Caenorhabditis elegans: one gene and its partner. The protein of the gene in region 1 interacts with the protein of each later gene in a pairwise test. Each region holds a gene or a part of one and is shown in the gene's direction. Other genes may lie near its edges.

What was found. Proteins that work in one complex are often made in the same cells at the same time.
Region 2: the proteins of kin-2 (region 1) and kbp-5 interact in a two-hybrid assay, tested with the Caenorhabditis elegans proteins (one large-scale study listed by BioGRID).

Annotation. Positions count from the first base shown.
Region 1 is NC_003284.9:5,976,232-5,979,986, reverse strand, and holds the start of kin-2 (cAMP-dependent protein kinase regulatory subunit), read left to right. Parts: upstream 1-2,132; coding exon 2,133-2,253; intron 2,254-2,312; coding exon 2,313-2,395; intron 2,396-3,175; exon of another isoform or gene 3,176-3,314; intron 3,315-3,755. UniProt on the Caenorhabditis elegans protein: Controls the rhythmic contraction of enteric muscles probably by regulating G-protein coupled receptor aex-2-mediated calcium influx in GABAergic DVB neurons.
Region 2 is NC_003279.8:10,685,351-10,688,702, forward strand, and holds kbp-5 (KNL (kinetochore null) Binding Protein), read left to right. Parts: upstream 1-2,012; 5' UTR 2,013-2,019; coding exon 2,020-2,239; intron 2,240-2,299; coding exon 2,300-2,394; intron 2,395-2,479; coding exon 2,480-2,572; 3' UTR 2,573-2,709; downstream 2,710-3,352. Other genes in the region: sdha-2 (Succinate dehydrogenase [ubiquinone] flavoprotein subunit, mitochondrial), read right to left, coding at 1-121, 175-233; ndua-13 (NADH dehydrogenase [ubiquinone] 1 alpha subcomplex subunit 13), read right to left, coding at 691-816, 860-1,073, 1,119-1,197, 1,607-1,703; tag-272 (Structural protein), read left to right, coding at 2,982-3,042.

The DNA of each region.
Region 1 (3,755 bases):
GTTGTAAAGTTGTATCAATACAACAACATGACTCACATTCACAACACACTATACGTTTTTTTTCTGTAATAATGTCATGCGGGTTGTATTTATCTTCACAATACTTTTTTCCAAGACGTATCCATCATAAAATCAAACAAAATTTATTATAGTAATTTGGAAATTAGAAGATTGATTAGAAAAATAATTTTTATAACGATTTTGACATTGAGAGTTTTTGATTGAGAAGTGATTAAAAGAAAGAATTTATGGGCGCTGGGCGGTTTCTTATAAAACTACCTAATTCAAACATTCCTCTTTTCTGTCACAGGCAGAGGGTCTCCTGAGACCTAAAAAACGGGTGGGCGCTCCACGAAGAAGACGCCGAAAAAAAAAAACAATTTCCCCGGGCGTCGTCGTTGTCGTTGTCCCTGCCTCTGTCTCCTCACGCTTCTTCCATGATTCATAGGGCTCCTTCTCCTTTTTGCTTTGCTTTTTCGCGATTTCTCAGTTTTTTGTCCCGTTTGATGCGTTCCGTATAATATAGAAACGTTGCTTTTTATCCAACAAAACTTTTACATTTTTGTACCAAAAATCCGACAGATTAGCCTATATGGATTAAAGATAAGCTGAGAGTCGGCTGGTATGCTAACTTGATTACCAGCATGCAATAGGATAAAAAATATTGTTCAGTTCTCCCTGTTCCTATTTCAATTTACGTCATATGCCAAAGACCAAAGGCCACGGGTGGTGTAGAGCAAGAGTCCGAGGGGAAATGCCCCGTTGTAATTGGGCGATAACATGAAGACACCCTCGATTTCATCGATAGGTCATTTTCACATTTTCACATTGTGATATTGATTTCTGAACGTTTAGTTTAGTTTATTATCATCACTTGTTTCTCTCGCATGCAAAAAGGTTTACAAACCCGCCTAGAAACCGCATAGGGAGGGGGAAGAGGCGAGAGAAAAGTTAGCATTCGTAGGTATTAAATGCATTTTCTAAAAAATAGGGTTTGAACAACAAATAATTGCTGTTTTTTGCTTGTACTTAAAATGGGCTCGAATTAGCATTCGAAATTCAAAAAAGACCAACAATTGATAGATTCACCAGTTTTGCTAAAGTTTCCAAGTTGCAGAGAATGAAAATTATATATATATTTTTTAATGGAATTATCATTTTTATTGATTGTTTGGTTCACATTATTTAGTTGATTCAAGTGTGTTAAAAGCCGATAAGTACTGAATTTCAATTATGTTTGGTAACCTATCAACTTTAAATGCACCCTTATTAACAAAAAAACGTGAGATAAATTATAAAAATATGCAATACAAATGATACTTTAATGCAGTTAATTTGCAACGCAGAAAAGTGTTTCCCAAATTTTAAACGCCCCCTCGAACGGAATAGCTTATTTATTTTTTGAGAAGTTCATTTGAGTACATTTCGAGTCTATACATGCAAACAATTCAAAACCGTATACATCAAAATTATTTCTATACATTTGTAGCTGCTTGTAACTCTATATGAATTAAACAAAAAAATCTCAAATCAAATTCGTCCGTTTCCGCGACATATTGTAACCGTTGATCTCCTATCAAAAGAGGAAATTCCCTTTATCTTTAAATTATAGTTTCCGGTCTCAGTACTTGCGCGACGACGTTTTTCATTCTGCTAATTATCACCATCAATCATCATATTTACTTTCCGACCATCTGTGTGATCAAAGTGATGAACTGAACTTGTCTTCAAATTTCAACAAATCAATTATCTGATTTTTCTCTTTTTCTCTTTTTCTTTTCTCTCTTTTCTCGTTCTCTCGCTCAACCAAGTTTGGGTATCAATTTTCTTTTCTTGCTCCTCCTCTCTGTTTTTTCCTTCTTCTCCACTTTTTCTTCCTTTTTTTGCTGCTCAATTCTGCTTTGATCTACTGGGAAGGCTGTGTGCCAAGATTTTCCAAAATGTTGTACACTGGCGGGTGTATCAGCATTCATTCGGTAACCGCTCATCTCGCTCTTTTCCGCGGCATCCCCCGTCAAAAGTCTGTTACCTTCCCCACCAAGTTTTCATCTCATTTCAAACGTGTGTTTTCTGCTATTTTTCTCGCATTTTTGTCTCTTTTGTTTGTTTAAAACAAGAAATGACTGAAAATTATGAACAATTATTCAGGTGACATTGTTTTTATGTCGGGTGGAAACGAAGAGGATCAGTTGGCACAATGCCAGGCCTATGTGCAACGACACAACATTCAGCAGCTTGTCAAAGAAGCAATTGGTGAGTTTTTGAAAATCTAGCAAAATAATAACACGAAAGTAAGAATACGATTTTTCCAGTTGTTCTGTGCATACACAAACCCGACAACCCGGTTCTCTTCTTGAAGGATCATTTTGAAAAACTCAACGAACAACGAGCACAGGTTAGTTGAGTTGCAGAGAATTTAGAAATTGAAAAAAAAAATATTTTCAACATAAAAGTGAGAAGAATGACAGAACCAGTTCGAAATTATGACCAGAAAAAGTATTCAAATTTGCTGACACTGAAAGAGTATTGACGTGGTACGCCAAAAAAGTTAATTGTTGCGTTTTGAAACGGTTCTTCTTATCGGAAAACGTAGTGTTGCATAAGCGTATTATAACGTTTTGAGTACAATTTGTGATGGGGGTTTTACAATTCTTCAGGATTTTTATTTAATTGTTCGTGTTTTCTGAACCATGAAACTCGGTTTCAGACTTTCAAATTTGAAATTCACATAGCTTTATAATTATATCATTGTTCTAGATCAGTGAAATTTGTTATTTTATTCTCATTCATAGTACCAAGTTTTTGAGGCATCGAAAATCTCGTTTGACTCGCTTCAAATATTTGAATATTTTATCCGGTTTTGTGGGAGCCAAGCGTCATGATTTTTTGTTTCGATCTTGTTTTTAATGAGATGCACTGCAAAAAAAAGCTTGAGAAAAAACTGGAAAATGCAAATTAGGTCAAACATCTTCCTGTGTCTTTTTCGTCATTCCTCCGCGTTTATGGCTCGAATCAATGAAAATGAAGCTTCACTTCGTTTTTTTTTTCGTCTTGTGTTGCTTCTTTTTTTCATAGAAAGCAAGCCTTGTGTATGTCGTTTTTCCGTCGGGGTCCTCTGGAGAAAGAGAAGAAAAAGAAGAAGAGGAAGAAGAAAAAGAGGCACTAGTTAGCTGGGAAAACGAAAGGATGAAAGAGAGCGGATAAGGCGTAACGAAAACGAAGAGAATTGAGAGAATGGGCCCTTTGAGACGAGTCCCAATGAGCCCTCCAGAGCTGTCCATCGAGCATCGAGCGCCCGCAGCCATTGGCTCAGCTGCCGAGCTCTTTTCCCTTTTTTTCGGGTCCGGTTTGTGAAGCGGAGAGAAAGTGACGAAGAATGAAGAAGGCCTCGGGGCAGATTTCTCTTGCTCTTCGTTGCTCTTCGGACGATCGCATTTTTCTTCTCCTTCTGCCGCTCCTTAATGCTCCATGCTTTTTGTTCTCCGTTGTTTTTTCAACACCCTCGCATTTTGTGTCTGGAATTTTTGTTTCGAAAATAATTGAAGTAGGTAGTATTTTCACAAAAATAACAAAAGTCAAAAGACTAGTCATAAATCTTTAGGAGGTCAGGTGAAAGAAAGGGAAGAGGAAACAGTAACAGTGACGACGAACCAAACATCATTGTCACGTTCTTTGAAGATGTGAAATTCTAGATTTAACCTTTTTTTTTCTCTGACACCTAATTTTTAAAATTCCAAAACATTTTGCTTTTTTTT
Region 2 (3,352 bases), on another chromosome or scaffold:
TTTCATTCCACCTTCGGAGAGTCCCATCGCAGCTCTCAAACCGGCTCCTCCTGCTCCCACAACAACCGCGTCAAAAGTGTGATCAACGACATCAAAATTGGTGGTTGCGCTCACTTGTTTTCTTTGAAAATTGATAAAATTAGTGAAATGGCGTTAGAAAATAAATTATCTCACTTCATATAAGTGCGAACAGGTGTTTTCGCACGGTTTATCGACTTTACGACATTAAGCATCTTGCTGAAAATACAGGAAAAATATAGAACGTTCAGAAAAACAAATAAAAATCCGATAACGGTTGAGGTGAAACCAAAAATGAGTTGGCCGCGCGAACGATACACCGTAGTTCACACTTTCGGTGCGAGACCCACCGCTCAATTTTTGTTCCTGCGCCTTTAAGTTTGAAACAACTACGGTACATTTTTCTCTATTTATTTACATGAAATTTCTGAAAAGAAACGTTTCATTTGAAATTTTATCGTAAATTTACATCTTCATTTCATAAAATTCCAGAAGAGAAAAACAATACACAAACACGACTTTTAAAAACCAAAGGCCTGTCGTTCATTTTCGAAAACTAACAGTCTAAAAATGAAAACAAAAAAAAAAAGAAAATGATGTTTTATTGATAGGGGCCTAGAGCAGGACACGAACTCGAAGATTAGTTTGCCAATCCATCCAGATGAATGGTATTTACCAGAACCACTTGGACATCCATTGTGGGAACCAATTATCGTAGAATTTCGGTCCAGCGTACTCAGAGTGTTGGCGCCAAAGATGATCACGGGTTTCATTTGATCCCCTTGAGTGAACGAATACCTAAAAAATATGATAAGCTCCAGAATTGTTATAAATTTTTTACCTCAGTAGCAGTTGGATCCCACCACTTGTCTCCGAGAGTAAAGTACACTGGCTCTCCGTACCAGGTTCCAGTCTTCCATCCTGGAACATCCTTCATAATTTCCTCTTCCAGAGCACGATTCTTGGCCAACAATTTGAGCCAATATCTGTCACGCTCGGCAGTCAAGAACGGCTCCATTGCGTTGTTGATGTCAACATCTTCGAACTTTTCAGTGCTGTAAACTTGATATTTTTGGAGATAAATTCACTAGTTATCTTACATGTCCTTCTTCTTTCCTTCAAGAGCAGCATAGACTCCGTAGGCAGTAGCTCCGAAAATGGCGGCGACGACGGTTCCAGCTTAAATTTGTGATTGATTTTAAGAAAGTTTTGTGTTTTGAATCAAAATTTGATAGACAGAAACTTAAAAATAGAATACTGTTTCAACAATAAATTTGATAAAAATGTATTTATTCTTCGCGTTATATTATTTATAGAAAATAGTGTGAAATATCAAAAATTACAGCAAAATAGCAAACTGATCCCAAAATATTATGCTAAAAACGTTCTCTGTCATTTATATTTTATTGCTCAAGACAAACAGCTTTATTTTTATAAATAGCGTCTAAGCCTTTTTATTCTTTAAAGTTTCTTGAGAATCGTTTTTCAAAATATTTATTCTGTATTTCACAGCATTCTTCTCAATTTTTTCGGCGTTTTGCGTTGTTTCATTTCGAGTAATATTTTAAAGCAAAAAAAAACAACTCACGACTCCAGACAAGCTTCGGAAAAGTGCGATGGAAGTTGAATGCACGATAGCCTCCTTTTGGAGGCATATCCTGCCGAAACTCTGCTCCAGTGGCCATTTTACCTGAAAATAATGAATATAAATTCGATAAAAAACCGAATAAATTATAAAAATCGATAATTTCGTTGAGGAAAAAAAAACTTGCAAACAGAATAGAAATTGATAAGTCGGGCAAAATGTGCGGCACGGGAATGTGGGCGTGGTCTTCGTCGCAACACTGCGGCGCACTTTCACAGCGATTTATTATTTTGGCGCGTTTATCTTTTTTTTTTGAAGACGTATTTTGCATTTATCGCTTGTTTTCTTCTTGAAATTGCTTTTTTAATATAAAAATCTGCTTTCAAACAAAATTCAAACTTATTTTCAGTACTAAAATGAATCCAAATCATAATGAAGGCCTCCTCGAGCTGTACACACAAGCAATCTCACTCGAAGCTCTCAAAGACGCTGAGCAATTCCTCGAGAATAGTTTGCTAGGAAAAGATGCACAAGTCGAACGTCTACTCGCTCAAGTTCTCATCGAAGAGCAGCAAATCGAGACGAATCGCAAAAAGATAGCACAATTGAGAATCGAGAAAGAAGAACTGGAATTCGGTGGGTTTTCGGAACTTTTCTGGTTTTATAATAATAATTAATTAATTAATTTAAATTCAGATTGTGCAAATAGTGACCTGAAGTCGTTGGAGCAGATGCAAGCCGAGCGAGATGAGCTCCAGAGGAAGTGCCAACCGGGGCAGCACACTAAATCGGTGAGATAGGGGAGATTTTGAAGCTGAGAAATGCTTTTTGTTATCTGAAAACATTCAGCGTTTCTATTATTATTTTTAATTCTAGAATCACAAATCATCTGAACAACTTTTGAGAATGAAAAAAGAAACCGACGCTCTACGTGCCTACATGAAGAAGATAAGTCAATTCGAAGACTGAAGCCATCAAATGAATCTCTATCAATTATCCCTCAATTTAAATTAATTTCCATTCAAATCGATCTGTTCTCATATTTCCTCATGATGTGATTCTCTAATCTTTTGTACATCTACAAGTTATTTTGTTTTATAAAGCCACATCTCACTTATGCATAGTTTTTGTGTCCAAAACGGAAGTGTTATTGGGAAGAAAAAGTACAACATAAGGGAAGAGTGAAGAAAATCGAGAGACGCAGATATGACTTTTTATTTGCGAACACGAAAAGCAAAGTGACCAGCAGCATTGGACACTTTTCGAGCAAACTTTTCGTCCGAGGAGGAGCTCATTGAGCTTAAGTCTCAGAGCACTGACCATTACTTCGGTCACTCTACTGTTTTGAGAAGCGTTGAGCTCTTTCAATCGTGTAAAAATGTTACCAAAAACTGGATCATTCGATGGGATTCCTAAAAATTTCAGAGCAAGTTTGAGAAGTGAGTATTTATGGTCTCGAAATTTTTTTTAAATCTTGAATTCTTATTTTTGTTTTTCTTTCTCTAGTTACTCCCAGGATTAAACCAGTAAATTAAAAAAATGCACTTAAAAATTCGATAACTTCCTAGAGTAACTTCCTACTGTAAATTTAAAGGCGCATACACAAAATATTTTTCATAACGCGCGGCAAGACCAATCCACTAAATTCGTCCTCCCTTGAAGTTTTTCTGCCAAATTTCTCATTTTTCAGAATAAATTCCTGAAAACTTTTGAATTCAAAATTTTCGTGCTTAAAAATAAGATGTACGA